Drosophila melanogaster: one gene and its partners. The protein of the gene in region 4 purifies or fractionates together with the protein of the main gene of each other region. This does not show direct contact. Each region holds a gene or a part of one and is shown on either strand. Other genes may lie near its edges.

Evidence for each region.
Region 1: the proteins of Orco (region 4) and Act57B purify together in Drosophila melanogaster (affinity purification with mass spectrometry, with the first as the bait; one large-scale study listed by BioGRID). This does not show direct contact.
Region 2: the proteins of Orco (region 4) and eIF2alpha purify together in Drosophila melanogaster (affinity purification with mass spectrometry, with the first as the bait; one large-scale study listed by BioGRID). This does not show direct contact.
Region 3: the proteins of Orco (region 4) and for purify together in Drosophila melanogaster (affinity purification with mass spectrometry, with the first as the bait; one large-scale study listed by BioGRID). This does not show direct contact.

What each region holds. Positions count from the first base shown.
Region 1 is NT_033778.4:20,941,634-20,947,345, reverse strand, and holds Act57B (actin 57B), read right to left. Parts: upstream 3,326-5,712; 5' UTR 3,230-3,325; coding exon 3,190-3,229; intron 2,503-3,189; coding exon 1,412-2,502; 3' UTR 915-1,411; downstream 1-914. UniProt on the Drosophila melanogaster protein: Actins are highly conserved proteins that are involved in various types of cell motility and are ubiquitously expressed in all eukaryotic cells.
Region 2 is NC_004354.4:16,444,059-16,449,284, reverse strand, and holds eIF2alpha (eukaryotic translation initiation factor 2 subunit alpha), read left to right. Parts: upstream 1-2,291; 5' UTR 2,292-2,405; coding exon 2,406-3,100; intron 3,101-3,399; coding exon 3,400-3,730; 3' UTR 3,731-4,109; downstream 4,110-5,226. Other genes in the region: eIF4H1 (eukaryotic translation initiation factor 4H1), read right to left, coding at 556-587; CG34015 (uncharacterized protein), read left to right, coding at 1,065-1,254, 1,323-1,513, 1,587-1,625; rngo (rings lost), read right to left, coding at 4,527-4,895, 4,959-5,226. UniProt on the Drosophila melanogaster protein: eIF-2 functions in the early steps of protein synthesis by forming a ternary complex with GTP and initiator tRNA. This pre-initiation complex mediates ribosomal recognition of a start codon during the scanning process of the leader region.
Region 3 is NT_033779.5:3,653,646-3,659,145, reverse strand, and holds the start of for (foraging), read left to right. Parts: upstream 1-2,192; 5' UTR 2,193-2,424; exon of another isoform or gene 2,425-2,438; intron 2,439-3,560; 5' UTR 3,561-3,876; intron 3,877-5,500.
Region 4 is NT_033777.3:5,406,464-5,414,735, forward strand, and holds Orco (odorant receptor co-receptor), read right to left. Parts: upstream 5,944-8,272; 5' UTR 5,932-5,943; intron 4,007-5,931; exon of another isoform or gene 3,809-4,006; intron 3,462-3,808; 5' UTR 3,461-3,461; coding exon 3,153-3,460; intron 3,083-3,152; coding exon 2,568-3,082; intron 2,471-2,567; coding exon 2,245-2,470; intron 1,830-2,244; coding exon 1,625-1,829; intron 1,264-1,624; coding exon 1,108-1,263; intron 1,040-1,107; coding exon 989-1,039; 3' UTR 720-988; downstream 1-719. UniProt on the Drosophila melanogaster protein: Odorant coreceptor which complexes with conventional odorant receptors (ORs) to form odorant-sensing units, providing sensitive and prolonged odorant signaling and calcium permeability.

The DNA of each region.
Region 1 (5,712 bases), on a different chromosome or scaffold from region 4:
GTGGGTTAAGCCCGTTTAAGTCGAGGGTTGGTAACTTCTCATTCCGGCATTTGTTTCCTGATTTCGGATTTGGGATTTCTGTTTCCCGATTTCTGATTCCCAATCCTGTTTGTTGTTGTGCAGCGCGGCGTAAAGTGATTCGCTTGAGAAAGTGAATTCCGAACGGGCAAGTTGCGCCCATTTTTGCCCATCTCGTCGTGCAACTCATTAGCGGCATCTGTCGCCCCTTTTTGGCCAAGTGCCAGCGATTTGGGCCCATTAATTACCCATTTGTATGTGGCTGCAACTGAAATTGCAACAGGCGACACGACCGCGAATACAAATTTCATTCATAATGCACATCGAGTTCTAATTAAACGGCCCAACGCCATTTTGACTAATTGTCTTGGCAATCTCGGCGAGAACATTTGTCTCTGGCATTGCCACCATACACTATATATGTATATATTCCATCCATTATTCCTCAAAGTGAAATGCATTTCTGGTAATCAGTTTGCCGAGAGCGGCAACAAATTGACATTGGCAATTTGTTTTGGCCGCCGCCTTTGATCATCCATCCGACTTGCGTCATCTCCGATCGTATTTCCTCATGGCATAAACAAACAAAAAATCGCTCGCCTGTCCGCCGCCTCACCCATTTTGGAATGCGTCTAAAAATATTCGAAAATCGTTTCGAAACCAGAAATATTTTGGGAATAGAAAGCTTTACGGTATGGTATTCGGGAAATTTGAAACGCACCGTCGCGTCTGGAGGTGAAAAAAGCTCACACATCACACATAGATCCATAAATGTACATATATATTGTATGTATCTTGAACTACTGATCGATGGAAAGCTTCGGCTAGGATTTGCTTTCCCGGCTAGATGCCCCCCCCCAATTTTTTCCAAAATCTCTATGTTTTTAGAAAAAATTAAATCTAAAAAATCGTTTTTATTTATAAATAATTATAAATTGTTTTAATTAATATTACAATCATGAGATTATTTTACATTTCGTAGTCAATAGACCCCATCCGCTCTATCGGGGAAGTTGTTAGGTTCTGTACAAAATACATGAGGGTGTCGGTTCATTCGTAAAACAATCAAATGGCGATCAACATTTAAGGAAACCGCGAGCGATTAACAAGTGGATGGGGATCGCGGTCCGTGGCATTAGATTGACAATTCATTTTGATTGATGGTGTTGTGTTCAGTCAGTACAAAAGAGTATTCTCGAACCAAGGATGACACGTTGGTAAATAATGACATTCAAAAACAAATGGTTGGATGGTGGTGGTGTTTGTTGTTTTTGCCGGTGGAGCACCAGCCGCCCACACACCCAGAACCACCACAAATAGCAGGACCAGATGAGCAGGAGACAGGTGAGTAGACCGGGTGGTGCTAGTGTTGGTGCTAGGCAACTGCAACTGCTTAGAAGCACTTGCGGTGGACGATGCCAGGGCCGGACTCGTCGTACTCCTCCTTGGAGATCCACATCTGCTGGAAGGTGGACAGAGAGGCCAGGATGGAGCCACCGATCCAGACGGAGTATTTGCGCTCTGGGGGAGCAATGATCTTGATCTTGATGGTGGATGGGGCCAGGGAGGTGATCTCCTTCTGCATACGATCGGCAATACCGGGGTACATGGTGGTGCCACCGGACATGACGATGTTGGCGTACAGGTCCTTACGGATATCCACATCGCACTTCATGATGGAGTTGTAGACGGTCTCGTGGATGCCGCAGGATTCCATTCCCAGGAAGGAAGGCTGGAACAGGGACTCGGGGCAACGGAAACGCTCGTTGCCGATGGTGATCACCTGTCCGTCGGGAAGCTCGTACGACTTCTCCAGGGAGGTGGAGGCGGCGGCGGTGGCCATCTCCTGCTCGAAGTCCAGGGCAACATAGCACAACTTCTCCTTGATGTCACGGACAATTTCACGCTCAGCGGTGGTGGTGAAAGAGTAGCCGCGCTCGGTCAGGATCTTCATCAGGTAGTCGGTCAAATCGCGACCAGCCAGATCCAGACGGAGGATGGCATGGGGCAGAGCATAACCCTCATAGATGGGGACGGTGTGGGAGACACCATCACCGGAGTCCAGAACGATACCGGTGGTACGACCGGAGGCGTACAGGGAGAGCACGGCCTGGATGGCGACGTACATGGCGGGCGAGTTGAAGGTCTCAAACATGATCTGGGTCATCTTCTCGCGGTTAGCCTTGGGGTTCAGGGGGGCCTCAGTCAGCAGGACGGGGTGCTCCTCGGGGGCAACACGCAGCTCGTTGTAGAAGGTGTGGTGCCAGATCTTCTCCATATCATCCCAGTTGGTGATGATACCGTGCTCGATGGGGTATTTCAGGGTGAGGATACCACGCTTGGACTGGGCCTCATCACCGACGTACGAGTCCTTCTGGCCCATACCGACCATCACACCCTGGTGGCGTGGACGACCGACGATGGAGGGGAAGACGGCACGGGGAGCGTCATCACCGGCGAAACCGGCCTTGCACATGCCGGAGCCTGCAGGATAACACAATCGAACAGGGGTCCATTAGTGGGCGCTCGAGTGCTTCATGTGGGGTTTCCCACACTGGGAGTCTAACATTTGCTCTAACGGACAGCGTGAAAAAGTCTGGCGACTAAGTCGAAAAAACTGGAAAAGTTTGGGGCGGAGAGAAAAATTCTCTCATGAAAATATGTGATCTGTCTTCTTCTCTCGTATAGAGAAATATCTGAAGATATATGATTTCTGAAATATTCCTCTTCTCTAATATCATGATCTCTTGAAAAGCTTTCAAGCATCAAAACTTATGAAAGTGATTCGGGCACAAAAAATCTTTATAAAACTTATGCAAATCGGTTTTGATTCTGTGCAAAATATAATATTTTAGCTTTTCTTTATCTGAATATTTATGATTCTTTGACTTGAATTGAAAATATTGCTCAATAACTAATATTTAAAATATATATTTCTCGAAATCATCCAAGGCATTGGAATATTTTTTTTGTTATATTCAAATTTCTAATTGCTTGTGTCCCGAAGGATGCGTGAGTTAATCACAACTCGAAAATCGTTCACTTTGCGATCACTTTAGCACTAGATGCGGGAATATCCTTTCGCTGTTGGGTCCTTTGTCTATTTCTCTTTCTTTTTTTTCTCTTTTAGCAAAAGCCAAGACGATAATCCGTTCGATGGGGAATACGCACCATTGTCAACGACCAGAGCAGCAACTTCATCGTCACACATTTTGTTTTAGTTTTGTTTTTTTTACGGCACCACGGGTGAATTAAATCAAGAGTTACGGTGTGTACGGCTTGGAACACAACTGACTGACTAAAGTATCGCCGCGTTGGTACTCGGATTTTATACCGCCGCCGAAATGCCATCTCGTCCAAGAAGCGCCGTCGCCATGCCCCCCGCCGCCACCGCCCCCGCCACGCCCCCATACCAATGGCAAAAGAAATACTCAAACGAATACACACAGCGAGGAAATATGCTCATGGATGCGATAATGCTGCCCACCGGCCGATCCGCCTAAAAATAGATCCTTCAGCATAGGGGGCTCTTTGGAAAACATAAGGCGAACGAGCGAGAGGCACAATATGGTATGGCATGCTATACGTATAGGAATACCATATAGCATATAGCGCAGTATAGTTCGGCGTGATCGAGCGTGGAGATCGTATCGGTTGGGATCGGGCACGATCGGCTGCCTGCTCACGATCGTTTGCAGTCTCAAAAAGTGCCGTATAAGGCAAGGAGGCGCCTCCAGCACACTCACACTCGTTTGCTCATTCTCAGCGAGTCGCTCTCTCTCTCTCTCCTGTTCTCCCACTATATCGGCCATATCGGCTATATCTGCTATATCTGCTATATTTGCTATATGTTTCGGTTCGGTTTGGATACTTTTTGGGTCGGTTCGTTACGGTGGGGGATTGGGTGGGTGGATATATTCGCTTTGTTGCTGGCTTCTATTTTCTCGTACGGCTCGTTGTTTTCATAACTTTCGTGTTTTTCTCATGTCGTAATAAATTCATTTTCTATTTTCGATATGTACACACACACAAACGCACAGCCTTAGTCAAATCGCATCTCTATCATTTCCCAGCCTTTGCACCTTCATGCCTTTCGTTTCTAATTTTGGTCATATTTCTCATTGCGCTCTCGCCCAAGATCCACGCCCACGCCCATGTCTACGCCCCTCGTGCAATGAGCATTATATTCAACTAATTGTTTATTTACAAATCGGGCTGTAAGATGTTAGTAAGGGGGATGGGAGGGGGGAGCTTAACCGTTACATGCCGGCTTTGCAGGGTACCCATTTAAATTGGGTTCGGTGCAATCTATTTTTGGGCTGCAACTAAGTGGGGCATGTTTACGTTTTATGGCACAATCCGGTGAGGCCAATCGTTGCTGTGGATCCTCCACACTCTCCTCCTCCACACATTTTACCCAATTCTCGCTGTATTCAAATACTTGGATACAGATGTATGTATTTGTGGCGCGGTTCGGTTGCTATACTACATGGAAAAACAAATGGATGTCGCTAAATTAGATTTGGGGCCCCATGCATATTCATTCTATAAAACGTGTATTTTCGCACGTACATATATGTATCTTTGGATACATAACACCAATAAGGTTGAGTTCCAGCTTCCCGAGGAAGAATGACTAATCCCTTAACCTAAATTGCAAAAATTAATCTATCAAAAGAATCGGTCTAGTTCGAATAGGATTATTTTCGAACTAATTTTAGACGGTTCTAAATATAGATCAAATGACAACAAGCAAGGTATTCCTCCAGAGTTGCCAGAGAGACAAGTAGGGCATATTTTTATTTTATGATTGTCGCCTTACTGATTACTATAATACTTATTGCAAATTTATAATAATTGCTTTTTAATAGGTATAATAATAATAATAATAATATAATATAATAACTTTAATAATAAGTATAAAAATAATAGTTTTTAGTGATATGCCTACAACAATTGTATATTTTCTATATTTTTCAATAATATTTTTTTTCTAATTTTCTAATTATTTTTTATTCCGGAAAATACATTTAAGTATTAAATATTTATTAGGTTTAAATAAGATGAGCATAAATTATTTAAGGTATGATTCTACTTAACAGCATGTTTTCATTTTGAATCTTCAAAATGTTTAAAATCCCACGTTTTTTCAAAAAACTTCTTTAATTAAAATCTAAAGGACACGAGTGAGCTTATCATTTAAAATGTTTTTTTTTTTAATAAAAATTAGCAATCGGCATAATTTATTTCTTTTATACCTTCACATTATCCTCAGCGGCTGTGAAATAATTCCCTGTTTGTTTTTTGGACTGCCTTAAAAAATGAGGGTAAGCACGAAAAGTTTCTCATCAAAAGAGACTCGTATCAGAGGTAAAATAACCAGGGCCTTTTTTTATTTTAATCGCGTGAAACAGCTCGACTGTTAATGCAGAGTTAATTAAAAGTATGTGAAAAGTAAATCACTATGTGGCAATTTAACCCAGCAACCACCGCACCAACCCACCGAAGGACCCTCAAGGCATCGGCAGTCAAATGGCAAAGCCAAAGTTGGTCGTTGGCCGTTGGAGTAACGAAAATAAAGCCAATTGCAAATAGATTATATAAATGGCTAAATCAAAATTTAATAAAGCCAAGCGAGATGTGCAGTCGCTGGAGCGTTGGATAAATAGGAGGGCCGGATGTCACCAGTAGTGG
Region 2 (5,226 bases), on a different chromosome or scaffold from region 4:
ATATTTTCTTCTTCTTTTTTCTTTTTTTGATGAGGGGTGGGGGGATTTTAATGTGAAATCTGCCGGTGTGCTGTCAGCGGCGTAGTCGACGTTGGCGCCGACGACAGCTGCAGCAGAGTTTTCCAAGAAAAACAACGCAAGCGATGAAAAGAATCGACAAAATAAAAACCGAAAAAGAATGTTAAGAAAAAAAAACGCACACTGCCCCTCACACACACCACACACACACACACACCACACACATACGCACACGCACGCACGTACAAAGGCGGCGGCGGCGGCGGTGTCGGCGACCAACGACCGACACGTACAATACACATGCACATTACTGTATGGGTGTGCGAGCGGCGAGGCGAGAGCGTGCGCGTGTGTTGGTGGGCTGGTGTTGCCTTTTTTTTTGCCCAAACCCCAAAAAACCGCGTGCATTATTACACATTTTGCCCAGATTGTCGGCACTCGCGCAATTCGATCGCATCGCGTCCACTTTCACAAGCACCGGCGGTTCGCGGCCAACGCGGAGCGTACGCTATTGCAAAAATAATTAATAATATTTACCTAGCGTGTTCATAACCACCTCTTCCAGCCATGTTTTATTTTTTTCAAATGAGCGAATTCGCTGCAAACCGCAGTGTGAACACACGGGCGAAAAATACTATCGCGGCGAATTTGGTCGGGCAGTGTCACCACACCAATTAGCTGATAGCCGCCTTTCTTAGTATTTTGGTCGTTAGCAGGGACGCATGCCCAATTGCGTCCAATTTTCAGATATCGATTAATATTTATAGTTGTTTAGCATTCTACAATTGTTCCTTTTCTAATGAAACATTCAAAAATGACATTGAATACATAGAGAGGAATACATATGTTTGTATAAATTTTTTTGTTGAAAAAAATAATACTAAAAGTAACTGGACACAAATGGTTTTTTTTAATACTGAAAATCTATTTAGCGGTATTTTTTTTTGGAGCACCAGGATAGTTCTTATCGTTATCGACAGTACAACTAATCAGCTGTGAAAGTACAAACTGCTATATTTTATATAGACTGAACTTAAAATTAAGTCATGGCGGACGACAACTGCATTTTCTGCCTAATTTCCGATGGGCGGATCCCCTCCACTGTTTTGGAAGTCGAAAACGATGACTTTGTCATCTTCCAGGACATTAAACCCGCTTCCCAGCACCATTACTTAGCAGTGACAAAAAAGCACTACGCTAGCCTCAAGGATCTTAACAAATCGCACGATTCTTTGGGTAAGATTGGAATTGGCGTGACCTCGGGCCATGCCCTAATAATTCTGATATCCTTGGATTCCTTACAGTGCAGCTCATGGAGAACGCCCTGAAGGATCTTCTGGTGTCCAAGGGAGTTTCTGTCGATGATGCCCTCTTCGGATTCCATCTGCCGCCGTTTATCACGGTGAAGCATCTTCACATGCATGCCATTAGCCCACGCACCCAAATGACCTTCCTATCTAAGATGATCTTTAGACCCTCCGTTTGGTTCAAAACCGTAAGTATTTGGCTATTCTGATTTTGACCACTTAGAGGCCCGCTTTAATTTAATCTTATCTATTTAATTATAGGTCGACGAGGCGCGTATTTACCTTTCCCAAAAAGAATAGATCGGGACCATCATAGATAACTGTTAGATAAATATATATTGTACTCGCGCGCTGTCATAATTAACTAATAAACGGAGCCAACCTATACAAATATTCTAATGTTCTTTAAATTAAAAGTGTAGCTTCTAAAAAAACCGATTCAAGCTACATGTCATTACATATTTAATGGCCTTTTTGTATGCGATAATATGCAACCTTTTAAAATGTTCTGCAAATTTAAACAGATAAATATGAAAAATGAAAATTTGACATATGGGAATTATCATCATAACATGGATAAAAAGTGACATATAGATAAAAGAACAACTGCTTTTTATTCCTATTTATCAGTATTAGCAATCTATATAACTTTTTGAGAATTTAACTTTTGGGTCAATTTTCGCAATTTTTGTAATATTGCAATAAATTTAACAAAAATTAACATTTCCAATTTGAAATTGATTGGTATTTAAATAACAAGCTCGCCAAGGGATGGCATTCCACATTTGGACTATTATTTCGAATGTTCTGATCAAAATTAAAACCAAAACAGTAAAATTTGAAATTGACCGGCAATCCATGTGACAAACAATCGATAGACCGCTGCTGCCCCACCTTTCCAGTGTGACCAGAAGCAATCCAATTGGCAACGTTTTGCCGGCTACGCAATTAAATATCGATAACACCACTGTCATACCTTACGCTTCTTCTTCTTGCGCCCGCTCGGCAGAAATTGTACACGTTTTTCATTTCGAAAAGTCCAAATTGCCCATTTTTTGGCCATAGACCACAGACTTTAACATGGCCCTGACGTCGCGCTTCTACAACGAGCGGTATCCGGAGATCGAGGATGTCGTTATGGTGAACGTGCTGTCCATCGCCGAGATGGGCGCCTACGTTCATCTGCTTGAGTACAACAACATCGAGGGCATGATCCTGCTGTCGGAGCTGTCCCGCCGGCGCATCCGCTCCATCAACAAGCTGATTCGTGTCGGCAAGACCGAACCGGTGGTGGTTATCCGTGTTGACAAGGAGAAGGGCTACATCGATCTGTCGAAGCGTCGCGTTTCGCCCGAAGATGTCGAGAAGTGCACCGAGCGCTTCGCTAAGGCCAAGGCCATCAACTCACTGCTCCGCCATGTCGCCGACATACTCGGCTTCGAGGGCAACGAGAAGCTGGAAGATCTCTACCAGAAGACCGCCTGGCACTTCGAGAAGAAGTACAACAACAAGACGGTCGCCTACGACATCTTCAAGCAATCGGTCACCGATCCCACCGTCTTCGATGAGTGCAACCTGGAACCGGAGACCAAGGAGGTCCTGTTGAGCAACATCAAGCGGAAGCTGGTCTCGCCCACTGTCAAGATCCGTGCGGACATCGAGTGCTCCTGCTACGGTTACGAGGGCATCGACGCTGTCAAGGCATCGCTCACCAAGGGCCTGGAGCTGAGCACCGAGGAGCTGCCCATTCGCATCAACCTGATAGCACCGCCACTGTAAGTACCTGTAAACTATTGTAATTTCCCTTGGTGTAGACGAAATTAACGAGGGTTTCTTTAATTAAAAGAATACGAAAATTGTAGATTTCTGTTCTTCATTTTAGCCGAAATTTATCGTTAAATAATAAGGAAATCCCTTTCATCTTGTATATATTGTAAATGACCACTTGGTTAAGAGAAAAACTTATATTCAATTTAATTTTACAACTTCTTGTGAAATCGAAATAACTAAAAATGTTGCTTAAATGAGTTAATTGGTTCCTAAACGTAATCGCTCTTCATCCGTATCCTTTTAGCTATGTAATGACCACATCCACTACCAAGAAGACAGACGGTTTAAAGGCTCTGGAGGTGGCCATTGAGCACATTCGCGCCAAGACCAGCGAGTACGATGGAGAGTTCAAGGTGATCATGGCACCCAAACTGGTTACGGCCATCGACGAGGCGGATCTGGCCAGACGCCTGGAGCGCGCTGAGGCCGAGAACGCCCAGGTGGCTGGCGACGATGACGAGGAGGATGGCGCCGACCAGGAGGGCATGCAGTTCGATCCAGAGAAGGAGTTCAACCACAAGGGATCGGGGGCGGGTCGTGCGAACGAGGAGGATGAGGAGGAGGAAGAGGATTAGCGTAGCCACAGCATCAGACACAACTATAGCAACTGTAACAAACAATTAAAGGAGTTTTGCAAAAATCAGAAGTTGTAATTTTATAATTTATATACATAACATATAACGAATGCTATTAAAGATTTATAAAAGTGAAAACAGCGAGATGCCCAAGAAGACAAATCAAAATGCGCTTGCTCATCTTTTTCTTTTCAAATCCAAAACAATACTATCGACCATTTATTATTGAACCCAATTCAGTTTTTCTTGACAGACCCTTAATACTAATTCAAATTGTGTATAAGTGTAATATTATTTAATAGTCAGGCATTCTTTCGTTTTTCTTTTGTATTTACTTGTTTCATGTTTTCGTTGATGCGGCTTGTTTCCATCACCGTCCAGATTTTCATTCATTAAATTTTAGATTATATCGCTTACTATTCTCTCTAGAAAAAACCAACCCACCTCTGCTTTAAAAATGACCCGGTAGTGCTGCGTAGCACCCTAATTAGATATTGTACATCGTAACAAACGATTCGTATAAAAAAAGTGACATCAGTTTATAAACATTTCACTAAATTAGAAAGGTTTTCGTTTCGGTATTCATTGCTTTGTGGTTGTGTATAGTCCTTACTATTTCCTATTTGACTTTATATGTGGCGTGGCGTGGCTTATTATTTGGTATTGCTCGGAGTATTTCGTTGGAACGGCTTCCAGTTAATGGGGTCCAGTCTGTTCATCATCCTATTGCAATCCGGTTTCTGGCTATGGGGAGTTCGGCTTTAGGTGGTGGTGTGGGCTGTGCGTCTAGCCGCGTTCAGCTGAGTTCGCTCCCCGAGGCGGCATCGTTGCGGTGGAGCAGCACGGACCTGGCCGCCTGCTTGTTACCGCCGCACAGGCGCAGCACGGTAAGCACATCGCTGCGAGGATAGCCAAGGGCCATGAGATCGGTGACATCCTGTTCGGTGAATCGTTCTTGAGGACTGATCGTGTTGGGCCCGCCACCGGCGCCACCGCTCTCCCGTTTGCTTTGCTCGATTGCATTGGAAATCGCCTCCTGTTCCATCGAATCCTCCGAGTTTCCTGTCAGCCGGGCGCTGACCGGCAGCTCACTTTCCGGCAGAAAGGGTGTCGTTGTTCCCGTGGTGCCAATAATCAACAAATTACGCTGCAAGTCAATCAGGCACTGGAAAAACCAATTCAATTAGCATTTAGGCGACGTAATCTGATGCTATCTAGATTTCATTACCTGATGTCGCTTCAGCATGTCCAGACCCAGCAACATGTCCATGGGTTGCTGGCCCAGCACGGTGAAACTGGACGTTAGGTGATCGTTCTCAATCTGCAACTGGACCATGTGTATCCTGCCCAGAATGGGCTGTGTGCCAACGCCCTTGGCCACACCATTCCAGCGTGTGTCAATCAGACGGTTGACATGGCATCTCTCGGCGCAGTCTTTGCTCATGATCGTCGTCTGGGCGCCAGAGTCCACAAAGGCCTTCACAGGAATGCCATTC
Region 3 (5,500 bases), on a different chromosome or scaffold from region 4:
GAATCCATTTGGAGGCATGTCTTCGACTACAATTTGGGAATACAACAATTTGGAAGAAAAGGCGGAGTGGCATGGTAATCGTTCTATGAAATGCCTAAATAAAATAAATGGCTAAACAGAATTAGAGTGAAAGGAGCTGCGGCCCAAAAGTATGCGGAATGGCGTTTATTCAATGTTATTTATTGGGAAATGCGGTATCGCATTTAGGATATTTTATTTATCATACGGCTGTACATAAGTGGTGAATTTCTTATTTACGACGAACATTATTTGGCTCTTTTTTTATTGCAAGAAATAAGTGTTTTTTCGAAGAAAGGGTAACAATTTTGTTAAACAATTTAGCTTTTAGTATATTATATATTATAAGATCACATCTTTCCACTCTAAAAGCCAACGAAATTAATTAAAAGCGCAATTAATTTGTTTGACAGCTGAAGAAAACAGACGCCAAGCTTTTGGCTTATTTACAATAAGGGGGTAGAATGGGGGGCCAAAATGGCTGAAAGGGGTGAGGGGGCGGCAGGGGAGGCTGGCTTTTTTCTCCTTTCGTTTGTCTGATTCTGTCGGAATAATAAAAGTAATTTAATTTTAATGAAATTGTTAATACGAAAACAATTTCATTTTGCAAAAAGTTTTGCCTGGGCCAAAAGATGGGCAGAGACGGGGGTGGTGGGGTGTGGAGAGAGAGTGAAATTGCTCGTGACAATGAGTGAACGGGAAAACAACAAACAAACAAACAGGAGTGCGAGAGAAAAGAGAAGGCCAAACGAGCAAACACTACGGTACAGAAAATACAAAAATGCCGTCGCAAAGCCAAACAAAAAAGGCACTGCACAAGCGAAAGAGACAGAAGGAGGGAAAGAGAAAGATAGGGAATGCGAGAAATGAAATGCTGATGCGAAGATTTAATAAATGAAATTGGTGTGTGATTAAAAACACAAAAACCAAACGAAATCCATCTAATCAACTTTTGCTGCCGCCTCACTTTTCCTCTACTTTCTCCTCCTCCTTTTCCACCGACCCGTTTCTCCTTTTGTCCTTTCTCCCAGCTGCTATCTCTTTCCTTCCTTCCCGGCGACGTCGACTGCGAGAGCGGCAGAGGGGTGAAAAGAGGGTTGCGAAGTTGGGGAGGGGTGGCACAATACTGGGGGTGGGTGGTCTTAAGTTTGCAACGCCTTCTTGAGGGAAATTCCCGACCAAAGATCCTTGGATTTTTCTAACCTTACGAAATTGTACATAAATAACGGTTAAAATTAATAAATAATTTTTACAATATGTTACTTATTCCACTTAAACATTTATGTTTAATTAAAAAATTTTGAATTTTCAACATGTTTCAAAAAATGTCTTTTTATGTACCATAAAAGATCGGAAAATTCATTCTACCTGTTATATACTTCTTAACAAATCTAGTATACCCTCTTACGAAACGAGTTAAATAGTAAAATTTCCCAGTTTCTTATTCCCCTTTTGGGATTTTCTCTCTTCTCAGGCTCCACCCCTACATATGAGCAGAAAATGGCTCTGAAATGCCTATACATACACATATTTACATACATGACGGCCAGTTGCTATGACATTCTACATCTTACATGCATAATAAATCTGAAATGTAACGTACAACGTAAGTTAGAAATCACTAAAATGAAAAATGGCGCTGTATTAGTTCCAAAAACAAACACCATTTGTCGTAAACGGATAGGCGTTGTGTGCTGTTAGTTCCAAAAGTATACGAGAAAAGTTGAATAAATCATGGCGCAGAGTTAATCCTGCATTGGCAATTTATAATACTAGATTAATTTAAGACCGATCTTGACCAACTTCAATGATGATTTCATTCGGAATGATTATTAAAATCAAACTGATACATCATCTCTGAGAGAACTAGCAGGGAAAATATTATAAATTCTACTACTCTACTAAATCTACTCCTTTCACATAGTATATTTACGTTAACAAACAAAGTACACTTTTATTAATATGAATATTTTGTTATTTGATTAAAGTAATTAATTTGTAGAAAGGATTGAGCATAATATTGTTTTAAATTTTTTTTTTCTATCTCAACGCTAATTCATAACATTGCATCAGAAGAGAAAATAATTTTTTAAAAATTAAGAGAAAAAATGCTAATGTGCTCTTTATTTCATAATATTCGAGTAGTGGTAGCGAGTAAGTTGTTTGTTTCATTTTCAGTCTGTTGGAATTTCTCGTGCTGTGCGGTTGTCATTTGTCGCGATCGTGCTTGGAATTGACTTTAGCGGCATTTTTATAAGAATCAATGCAACGCGTGGTTTTCCTGCAAATTTTGGCACAAGTTCTTAATAAAAGAAAAAAAATATATATATATATGGCATTGGCGTTTATCAGAATAATCCACATCGCCATTTAGTTCGGTGGTTTTTCATCGACTTGTGCTTGTGTGTGCGTGCCACTTGGTTAGTTGTTGCTGCTTTCGCTAGTCGTACGATCTAGCATTTGTGCTCAATTCTGAATTCTAAAATAAAACAACAACTAGCGTTTTCCATATGTGCAACTATTTGCCTTAAAAAGCAATTAAAGCAAAGGCAGTGGTTAAAGTTGACTAAATATTAGTAAAACGTGAATTGTGAATGCAGTTTTGGTGCATTAAGCGAAGAGAGTGGAAGAGAGAGCGGCTCTCTTTTAGTTTGTGATTTCAAAGTGGAAAATTATTAATTCAAATGCAGTCTGCAATTAATTTCATGGAAAATCACTTGTTAGCTGCTCGTTCGCTCTGTCTCTTTCGCACTTCAGCTGACGAATTTTCCGTGCTAAACTTGACACTTTTCAGTCCATCATTCCAACTAATTCTTTGACTGCAGTTTTGCGTCGCATTTCCTTTCTACGCCGATCTGCCTCTTTGCCTTTCTTTTCTCTGATATATTTCAACAGAAGCTCAGTTGTTGTTGTAACTACTCCTCCTCCTTTTTGTTACTTGCTGCTTGTTTTTGTTGCTCGTCATGTACAATTTTTTCCAATTTGTGCGCCTTTTCATATTTTATTCTGCCGCGCTGTTTTTCTGTTTTCTGTTTCTGTCTCGCCGCCGCTACTATTTTTAGCAACAAGTATGGCTGATGTTGTTGTTGCTGCCGCTCAAGTTAACTACGCTACGCTGGCAGAAACAACAACAAGTCAAACTATGCGGAGCGAGAGAGAGTGAACTGAAAACAAAAAGAGTGAGCGATAAAATCCGCGAGAAAGAGTACAGTGGGGCTCGACTTAAATTATCATATTAAGCCAGATCACAAGTATTAACAAATCGAATGTTCTTAAATCCAATAAGCGTTAATCAGCAATGTTGATCAAAAGTTTTAAAATTATTTAATCGATATCAGTGAACTATTGAATACTATTGGTAAAAGCTCAGTCTTGTTTGCATCTTCAAGTGGGGGTCCCACTGTATTCGACTCAGGTGATAACAATAACAGCGACGAGTGAGAGAACTCTCTCTCACTCTCTCTCCTTCATTTCATTTCCCAATCTTTCGTGTTCGTGTTCTGTGGCTAATAGCATTTAAATTTTAATGCCCAATTTCATAGAAACGCAACGCAAGTGGAAAGACTCGAGAAAACAAAAGTGCAGGCCGTCTAAATTGATGGCGAAGTTTCGTGTGCCGCCTGCATTTCATTTATAAATATATTTTCGGCCTTAATTCTGTGCTTCCTGTGAATTAACGAGGAAACTGAAGAGTGCGCGAGCGAGACAGCCGATCACAAATCAACAAGTGGAAACGAAGAAACTTTCTTCGCAAAAGCCGGCTGATCGCAACAACAAGAAGAAAAGAGAGCGATTCTCTGCGACTGGAACCATAACATTTACATCGACCCTGGAATTTCTTCACTTTTCGTCCAACATGTAAGCTCCATTTTAATATGCAATTACTGTTCGCTGTTGTCGAACAGCAACTTATTTATTCATACTTATTGTTTATTTATGGATTTATGCCGCCTACGAACTTTGTGATTGCACAATCGTTCGGCCTTTGAATAATTTTTTTTTTCGCCAAGGCGCCCTTTTGTCTATATACCCATCTCTTTCGACTGCTCCAGTGCTGTCTTTTTCTGGTCCGTGCTTTGAATAAACAATTAAGGCTCAGGGTCTTTAAGCCCTTTTCTCCGCCTTAGAGCCGAAAGTGATTGTTGTAATTTATAATTTATATTTCCTTTCTTAATAAATAAATAAATAGTCAAGTTTATGTTTGAGTTTTATGATTTATATTTTAAGTTATTTCAACTGCAACACCAGCACCACGACCTACTCACAGCAAAAAACGTACAAGAAGGAAAGAAGGAATAAAAAGAGTGGTATTCTCTTACAATATGTTTTATGGCATAAAAGGTGTGGCCATTCATATCAAATATAAAGTAGTGTTGTTTAACGTTATTTTTGTAGGTTGAATAGTATATTCCAACACGCCCCCTCAAAAATAACGTCTATAATTAAAAACATAACAATAATATTCATTAGTAACTATCAAATGTGGGTGGTGTGCATTCTGGGAAGTGTTAACTGATCCAGCATTTGCTGCGAGGATACGGGGAAAACCCAGAAAAACCCGATCAGATCATTGTAACAAAATATGTTTACAGGAATTTAAATTTGAAAAATATATATAAAAATTTCATTCAGCATTCGATTGGTCGTCTTGCAGCAAACCCAATTTGTCTCGTAACTCCACAAATCTCGCAGCAGGCAACGGTTTTGTAAATATGTCAGCCAGTTGATTCTCTGTAGGAATATACTCAAGACAAATCACATTATTCTGAACTTGCTCTCTGGCAAAATGATATTTAATATCAATATGTTTAGCTCGTTTATGACATGAGGGATTGTTTGCTATGCTAATACAGCCTTGATTGTCTTCGTAAATTTTAATGGGGTTTTCTAGTTTAATGTTAATACTAGTTAATAAAAATTTAAGCCATAGAGCTTCTCTCACGGCTTCAAATAGGGCCATATACTCAGCTTCAGTTGATGAGGCTGCTACTGAGTTCTGTCTCTTTGTATTCCAACAAATGAGATTAAAATCAAACATTTTGAATAAATACCCTGTTGTACTTTTTCTATCAATTTCACTACCAGCCCAATCAGAATCCACATAACCAATAATTTTATTTTCAAATGCCAAGTTCTTTTTAAAAATCAATTTCATATCGATAGTGCCCTTCAAATATCTAAGAACTCTTTTTAAGTTCTGCCATAATTCGGAGTTATTTTTGCTACTATATCTGCTCAAGATATTTACTGCAGTAGTTAAATCTGGGCGTGTACAAAGCATTATGTACATTAAACATCCTATGAGGCTACGGCATGGGGTATTGCAGTCTTCATCTGAATTAAGTAATTCATAATTTATTTTACTAGGTAAAGGAGTACTAACTGCATTACAATTTTCCATGTTAAATTTACTTAAAATTTTTTTAACATATGCAGATTGGCTTAAATAGATTTTATCTTCCTGCATCTCTATCCTAATTCC
Region 4 (8,272 bases):
TTGGGCAATTTTGAAAACCATAAAGTGCGCTTTCAAAACGGCAAAAATATAGGAGAGCTATGTAAGTGGAGCTAAGCGTGTGGAGATCCACAACCACGCTCGACAGTATGATTCCGAATTACACTTTTGCCACTTTTAATTGTTGCCACTGCAACTGCTGACGATGGCTGGCCGTTTCTAATCGTACTCATACTGCTTCTGCTGTTGCGCCAACAGTTGCCAAAAATGTGGCCAAAACGACTACGGCCCAAAGATTATGATTATAATCCGCATTTATTCCTAAATTTAGTTCGTTTTGCACATACGTTTGCCGTGAAAATTGCGGCATGCAAGCCAGTGATGCGATAAACACGGCGTCTAGCCCATTAAATTCCACGCTTATCATGTGAACAGCACCGATAATTATTGAATTAAAACTAATTGATGGACTACAAGCCGCTCCTGACCCAACTTGAATCTAAACTAGCAATTTAACAATGGAGCTCAGAAAAAAAAGTTCATAACACACATTAAAGTAATTGAGAAACAGTTCTCTATTTGAGTTTGCTAAACCAAAATATATTATAGTTGACAATATTCTAGATTTTATATTGTATATGCAGAATATATATATATATTAATACTTAAGATGCAAATAAATTCGAATGAATTCGAAATTTAAAATGAAATAAACTCCGCCTGTTTCTATTCTATTAACCCCCCATTAAACCTTCGAGTTTCACTACACATTTATTTAGTTTGCATCTTGGGTTTACATTAAAAGCTCTACGCGTGTACAAAATCGATAAGTATTTGCAGGCTTCTATGTGCCCCAGAATGTCTCCATTATGCCCCACGAGGCTCGCTCGTCGCAGGTATAAAATATATAATTTGCGTTATAATTGCTCTGTGATATTGCTGGTTGCACAGTGCGGAGGGGGCAAGGGGCGGTAGGTGGCTTCTTGGCATTCGCTTTTCTGGTACAAAAATCCATCAGCTTCGCAGCAACTTACTTGAGCTGCACCAGCACCATAAAGTAGGTGACGACGGCACCCAGAACCTGCGAATCGGGAATATCCGATTCAGTTTTAACTCCATCAATAGATCAATAAATCAAATGCAACAAACCGAAGCAAACAAATCCAGGGAGACGGTGAAGAATTTCGCTCCCGATATGCTCATCGCCTTCTGGCACTGCTGGCACACGATCTGGACGAAGGTCTTGGCCTCCTCGGAGCCATCGTACCAGTGGCACGAGTAGGCGGCCTCCATGACGGATGAACTCTGCGAAATGAAAGTCGTATTAAGGATGCTCTAGATAACTAACTACACAAACTATAACTATAACAACGTTTAGAACTATGTATGTTTCCCAATCTATAAACTTGAAAACATTGGTTCAATTTTATCTCATACGCAAAAACACCCTTTTATTTCTACCACATGGAAAAAACACACTGGTTAGCTTGTAGTGAACGGACCAATCTGTTGACTCTCAACTTACAATTCATTTAGTTTTAATGAAGTCTCAAAATTTTTTATAAATATCCCTATAACTCAAATAAGGATGTTCTCGATTATTAATCAGTTGAGACTGATGTCTGATTTACTTATAAATTTATCTTGCAACCCTGCACAAACTCACCTCTTCAATCAGACGATTGCCAAAGATGCAAAAGTGGAACACCTGGGCCAGCGCGTATCCTAGGTATCCGACGACTGTGAAGGCGTAGACATTCACTCCGTTGATTTTGGTGGCCTGGTATGCCAGCAGGGTCAGCTTGATGGTCGAGGTCAGCATGTGGAGGAGGAGGGCGGCTCCGTAAGTATCGCCGATGGCAGCCACCAGTCTGTGGGGAAAAGGCAACGGGGGAAAGGATGAGGGATTGCAGGCAGGAATCAAGTCAATATTGGTATCAACAACTGCACACGCCAACTGTCGGACAGGACAAACAAGGACATTCCTCTAGGGCCCCCAACAATGATTGCAATTGAGGAAGTAATCAAGTAAGTCAAACAAGCTGCAGGGATCTGTTGAGCTCCTAATAAATGAGAACACATGTTCCGATGGCGCCTATTGAAGTTTTACAAAACTGAGGGGAAAGTGTGTGTGTTTATTATGTTCGGTGCTCTGTTAAAGGCAAAAATCCAAGTCCATGAAATATGAGTGGACTGCTCTGCCATTTAAATCGCCAAAAATCCAATCATCACTGGCCAAAGCCCCCTTGAAATGGCTGGTCCAATTTGGCCAGGATTTGAACTCACCGCACCACGTGCTTGTGCCGCTCGACCCAGTACTTGATGGCACTGCGCACCATCATCTCCTGCTTTTTGGTCAGCCCGTTGGGATTAGCGCCGTTCACCAACCCGTTGCCTCCGCCCCCGTTCCCGCCAAAGGACTGCAGTGTCGAGGGTGCTCGAAACTGAGCGCCCCAATCCGCTTTCGAGCTGTAGATGCCCGACATGTCCATGTCGGTGCCGGGATCCTTTTCTGCAATGGAAAAACAGCTCGTCATGGCATTTTCCTATTCAGTGAAGTGCTCACTGAATAACCGCCTAAAAGTTTAGGTTCAGACTCAACAAATCACCTTCATTATGAATTAGCTCCGACTTGGAGTTGGCCGACAGGGACCTGAAGAGGGCCGCCGAGTTGGGCCTGTAGGTGTCCAGCGAGGCGGACAGCTCCATCAGCGGCTTCATGATGCCCTTCAAGTGCTGCAGCTGCTCGCAGGCGAATATCAGCCAAGAGCAGAACATCACGTCGCATAGATTGGAGTGGATCATCGAGAAGAGCACGTAGTAGATCTGAAAGGCAAAGCTGATCATGTAGAACATGCCGTGGCTGGCGTTCCACGGGTAGAAGGACTTAATCGGCAGCCGGGGTATCTCCACCGGGATGCTGGAGTTCGTCTCATGGTCCACCACCATTTTTACGCTGTCGCCAAAGAAGGTGATCGTGGTCCAGGCGGTGGCCGAGGCGACTGTGGTCAGCATCACCAGAAAGAACAGCTTCCTCATCTTCGCCAGTGCGATCGAATGGTAACGAGCATCCGACTCGGCGAACAAGGGATGCGTGTTCACCTGGTTCCATATATTCAATGTTCTGCCGGAAAAACATAAAATTTTAAATTCCCCAAGTGTTCGTAAGCTCGGTGCGGTGAGCAGAGGCTCACCTGTAGAAATTCTTCTGGTTAACAGCCAGGTAGATAAACTTCGTGATGCAGTGGGTGAAGAAGAGGGTCGTGATCGTGTTGCCCGACAGCTCGTTGACCTCCTCGGCGTTCAGGGCCATGTTGACCAGGATGAAGGTGAACTGCATGAGGAGGAACACCAGGTGCACGGAGGAGTACACCTTCTTCATGAAGGCACTGCCGCCCGTGAAGTTGTGCATGAACAGGCCGGAGTACTTCATCGCCCGGATGTTGGGCATCAGGTCGGCGACCAGGCCCGTGTACTTGCTCGGCTGCATCGAGGTTGTCATCCTGTTGAGCGGCGGAAATTGCACGACAAAATTAATAGGTTTCGCCAACACAATCAGCTATTATGAACGTAATCTGTTCAATATTCCGTATTTGTGATTAGTCCTTGGTTTGCTTGCCGAGTAGAAAAGGAATTTTCCTGCCCGAAATGAATCGATTTGGAATGTTTTATTCATAGCGGGATAATGTATAATGCATATTGAATATTCAGGTGGACTCATGTCCTCTCAAATTAATATTAATTTGGCTATCGATCGTGAGTTATTAAATTCGGAATGTGGAACAATTGTGTACGATATATGGTTCTCTAATTGGTAATATTGTAATATTGAAAGACCCAGTGCTATTACCTTGCTATTGAACTTTAAAAATACAAATGTAATTGTTGTCTGGTACACTTGGGTTAATTGAGTGCCAGTAATGCAGCAATCATCTAGGCAATCATTTCACTCTTTAAGGCTTAACCGGGATACTTTAAGATACGAGATATGAGGCTTTCCGGAACCAGGACACAGTTGACCTGCCAGCACCGCGATGTCGACGGTAATGAAATGTGAAATCCGGAAGGTTAAAAAGCTCTGTCGACAAGTGCCTGCTCCTTCTGTCGGCTAGGTACTTGCTCCGCTGTACATAAGGACGTGTACTTTGAGGACGAGTTCCCACGGCTGCAACAAGGCCACATTAAATCCTAGCCCGCGACTTTCACTCCGACCCACACATGGTAATGAAAATATACAATATGGGTATCGGGCCGCCTTGGAGCGCTTAAAAATTCAGCTCTTCAGCCACGTCCATCGATGTGATGGGTGCGTGGCAGACGCAGAATTCCCACAATTAAATCGAACGCCCACGAACTTGTCCACCACTGCTGTCGTCTCCGGGTCTAGGACTCCGCTTTTGGGCCATGGGCCATGGCCCAGTCCTGTGCCCTCCACGCGGCGTATGCGCACTGGCGGAATGGCACTGGGACTGGAGATGGGCTCATCCTTGCGCGGCATCTGCGGTATCCAAACTTATGCAAATTTTAAAAGCATCGATTATTTTATTATGCCTGCTTGTATTTGTTGGCCTGCCCCAAGTGCCGCTGAGATATGGGGATAGGCCATTCCTCAGCCAACCCATTTGGTGGGGATCCCTCCGTGAATCGCTGACCCAAAAAAATAACACATTGCCTATTTGCATGAAAATGTGTGTGTTCAGCCTGATGGATATTTGGTCCTTGCTCAATTTTTTTCGTTCTCAGTTCTCATAGGCACTGAATTTCGGTAGGCGGGGGCCTTCAAAAGAAGTCTTAAATTGGGTTGCCATTATATATTATGAATACTTACAATTCTTTGCAATTATAATACAGTAGAATTTAAATAATTAATACTCTATCTCAAGGTCGTACAAGTGGCCTTCGAAATCAGTTAGGTAATATACATGTAGGCAATTAATAAAACAATTGTCTAATTCAAAATCTAGTACTCAAATTGCAACGCAAACGAAATTGCTGAGCAGTGTATTGAATGCTAATCGAAAACATCCAATTTAGTTATTCGAAACTAGTTGTGACAATATTAAAACGTGGCAAGAACAAAAAGCGGCGACTATTGTGAATAACTGAATCACACTTAAAACTATGTGCCGGAATGTAAATGTATCTGTGTCTGTAGCTATATCTGCAGCTAGTTTCCACCACTCATATACACATATGCATACATATATGAATGGGAACTCAGACACAGATGTCCCAAATCATGGATTATTTAAATGCAGGACACTCACGAACATCAATTAATACGTGAACACTTGCCTGTGTGGATTGCGGGGATGCGAGCGGGGATTTAACAATATTGATTTAACGTTTAATCGTCCTGAACTCAGCCATGCGAAACAAGCCCCCCCCCCCTAAATGTTGCCCCTTTCGGTCCTTCGCTTTTTGATTTATTTTATGGGCTTGTGGCTGAAAGTTTAATTACGCGGATGCGTTTGGATCAATTAGCTAACCGCGGACATCGTGAGCCCTGCAGCCTTTTGTCATTAATTATTAGGCAACATTTAAATGGAAAGTGACACTTGCTTTATTTAATTTACAACTTAAACAAATGAGCCTTTATTTTTACCATTACGCTTTTGTGTTCGTGACTGTGATCGATTCTGATGCCAAATTAAATGATTAAAACGCACTAATGGGTTAATAAAGTCACATTAACTAGAAATTATATATTTATATAATTATTATTAAGCGCTTTCCATATGAAATGATATACCCGAAGTATAGGCAACATTATTTTGATTCACACCTTTATGGCCGCATTTCAGCCAAAACCAAATGATTTCCATTAGGTCGTCCACAGGATCTCTACATAAAATACCGCAAGTTGTAAAACAATAAAAACTCAAAAATAAGCATATAAAGTTATTCAAGCAATCCATCAAATCGCCCATAAATTGCGAAATCAATGCGACACACACACACACACACACGCACACATTATAAAAACCTCTTTGGGGCGCAAAGCCGACGAAGGAAAAATTAGAAATCAATACCCAGCAAGGACAGAAAAATCTGTTAAGTGACAAACAAAAACGGCGAGAACACCAATTGCGTGTGAGTGCGTGAGTCCGTGTGTGCGAGGTCCTCTCTCTCCCATCCTGCTGCTTGGCTGTGTGCGTAAGTGCCAGCATCAGGAGCAATTCCTTTATTTTCGGACCGCCGTGGCCCTCGACCTACAGAAGGCTTTTACCAGAATTTATGGCTATGCATAACCGACTTGGAAAAACAACAGACGATCGAAAATACATATAAATAAGTGCGTGGGGTGTGTGCCACATTCGGTTTCATAGTGTGCGAGTGGTCTATATGTGTGTGTGTGTGTGCGTGTGCTTTCTTCAGGCCATTAGGGGAGCAAAAGAAATGTTGACATTGTCATAAGAATGGAAAAGAATGGCAGAGAAATGCGGGAAATGCGAACAACAGCGAAAAGCGCAAGAATTATTATTATTTATTCCCGGGTTTTATAAGATTTCGGTAGAGGTGCTGGGCGCTCATAAATCCAATCCTTATACATCGCACAGTAGTACACATGGAGAAATTGCTGGTGTACAATTTCAGAAAGATTTTTCAGCCAGAAAGTTTATATATCGCCAGTTTAGTTTAAAACAATATAACTGAATATGAAATTGTAATTGACAGAATAGGAAATGTCTTAATTTGTTTTCGGCGGTATATATATATTTAACGAATGCATTAGTATTTAGTTAATCATAAAAAATGTATGCTCATATTTTATGACTTTTGTTTTAAATTGTCAATATTTCTCAGCAGAAATAATTAGTATTTCACTGAGCTATGACCGAAGCAATTTCTCTCAGTGCACTTGTCTGCGTGCCAGTGTCACTTCTTCTGTTGCCGCTGACAGGGCGACAGATTCCAACCGGAAGTCGAGGGAGTCGGAAGGAAGTGCCTTCGTGGCTGCTCGCCGAGACAGTGTCAAAAGTTTAACTTTAGATTTATTTGCCATTTAATGCCGCTGCTCCCTTTCCCAGAACTGCAGCACGGCCAGGAGTTATAGGGGAGTTGTAAATCTCTCAGCTGTCTAAGCAGGTCAATGCATTTGGCTTTCACAATGGAATTGCAACAGGATCCCCGCCCCCACAGCTGTCCGCATAAAGGACATTCAGGACTAGTGTGAGGTTTGTTTGTTTGCCGCCTGCCACAAAGTTGTCAACGCGGCAACTAAACGAGTTTTGGTCTTGTGGTGTTCTATATTAGTCTGTAGGGTGTTCGTTTCGTTGGAGTGCTTTCTTTGTTATCCTTCTGCCCGAAATTCGAAGTTGTTCTCCCACGCGAGAGCATGCGCAGGGAGAGTTAAATCTGAGATGGCTCAGCTCCACGAGTTTAAAATTATAAGAGACGCTGTGGCAAGACGTTGCCACTCTTTCGGCAATTATGTAAAAGCATGAGGTGCATTAAATATGCCTATATAACGTGTGGAAGATTAAAATACAAATATTATTTGAATATCGATATAAGTTGGCTCAGTAGTAGTATTAATAGAATCTATAATAATCATGTGATTAGAATTTGCATGCTTAATTTTAAGTGTCTTGCCTAATTTTTATTTTCATACGGATAAAAATGTGCAAATCGATAGTGATAGCTATTAAAATAATAATAATTCTAAGCTTAATTTTATATTGTTGCACTTCTGCTTAGATACCATTTTGGGTTCTCTCTTATATATATATGTATATAATATTTAATTTTTAAGGACGTGTTCCATTTTATATTTAAAGGCATAGCAATCTGAACCATCTGGCAGCTTCAGCAACTCACGTGCATTATCTGTGGCTCGTTGAGCCTGTGAAATGCAACAAGAGAAGTGACTCGCCATCTGAGAGCTCTCTCTCTCTCTCTCGCTCTCGAAGGACTCGTTCCTTGCTCTTTGCAGAGATTCGTATAAGAAAATCTCTCCTCAGCAGAGGAGAGCAGGGCAGAGGAGAGCAGCACAGCAGAAACCACAGACACTGTTACGGGATCCGCATTTTGGCCAGGACGAAGCGAGCGTGGCGACGAACGACAGCCAATGGCTTCTATTGGGAGCCAGTCAAACATGGTCCATCGACGGGAGATGAACAGCACCGAGAGCAGCATCCGCCAGCAGATTCGCAAGCCAGTTCGCTGCCAGAAGCCAAAACCCAAGGCAAAGCCAGCCGAACCGGGCCAATTCTAGGGGAACGCGTGTGTGTGAAGGTAGTGAAGTGAAACAAACGTGGACGCGAGTGTGTGTGCCAGTGCCAGTGTGTTGTCCAAGGACCTCATCGCCCTC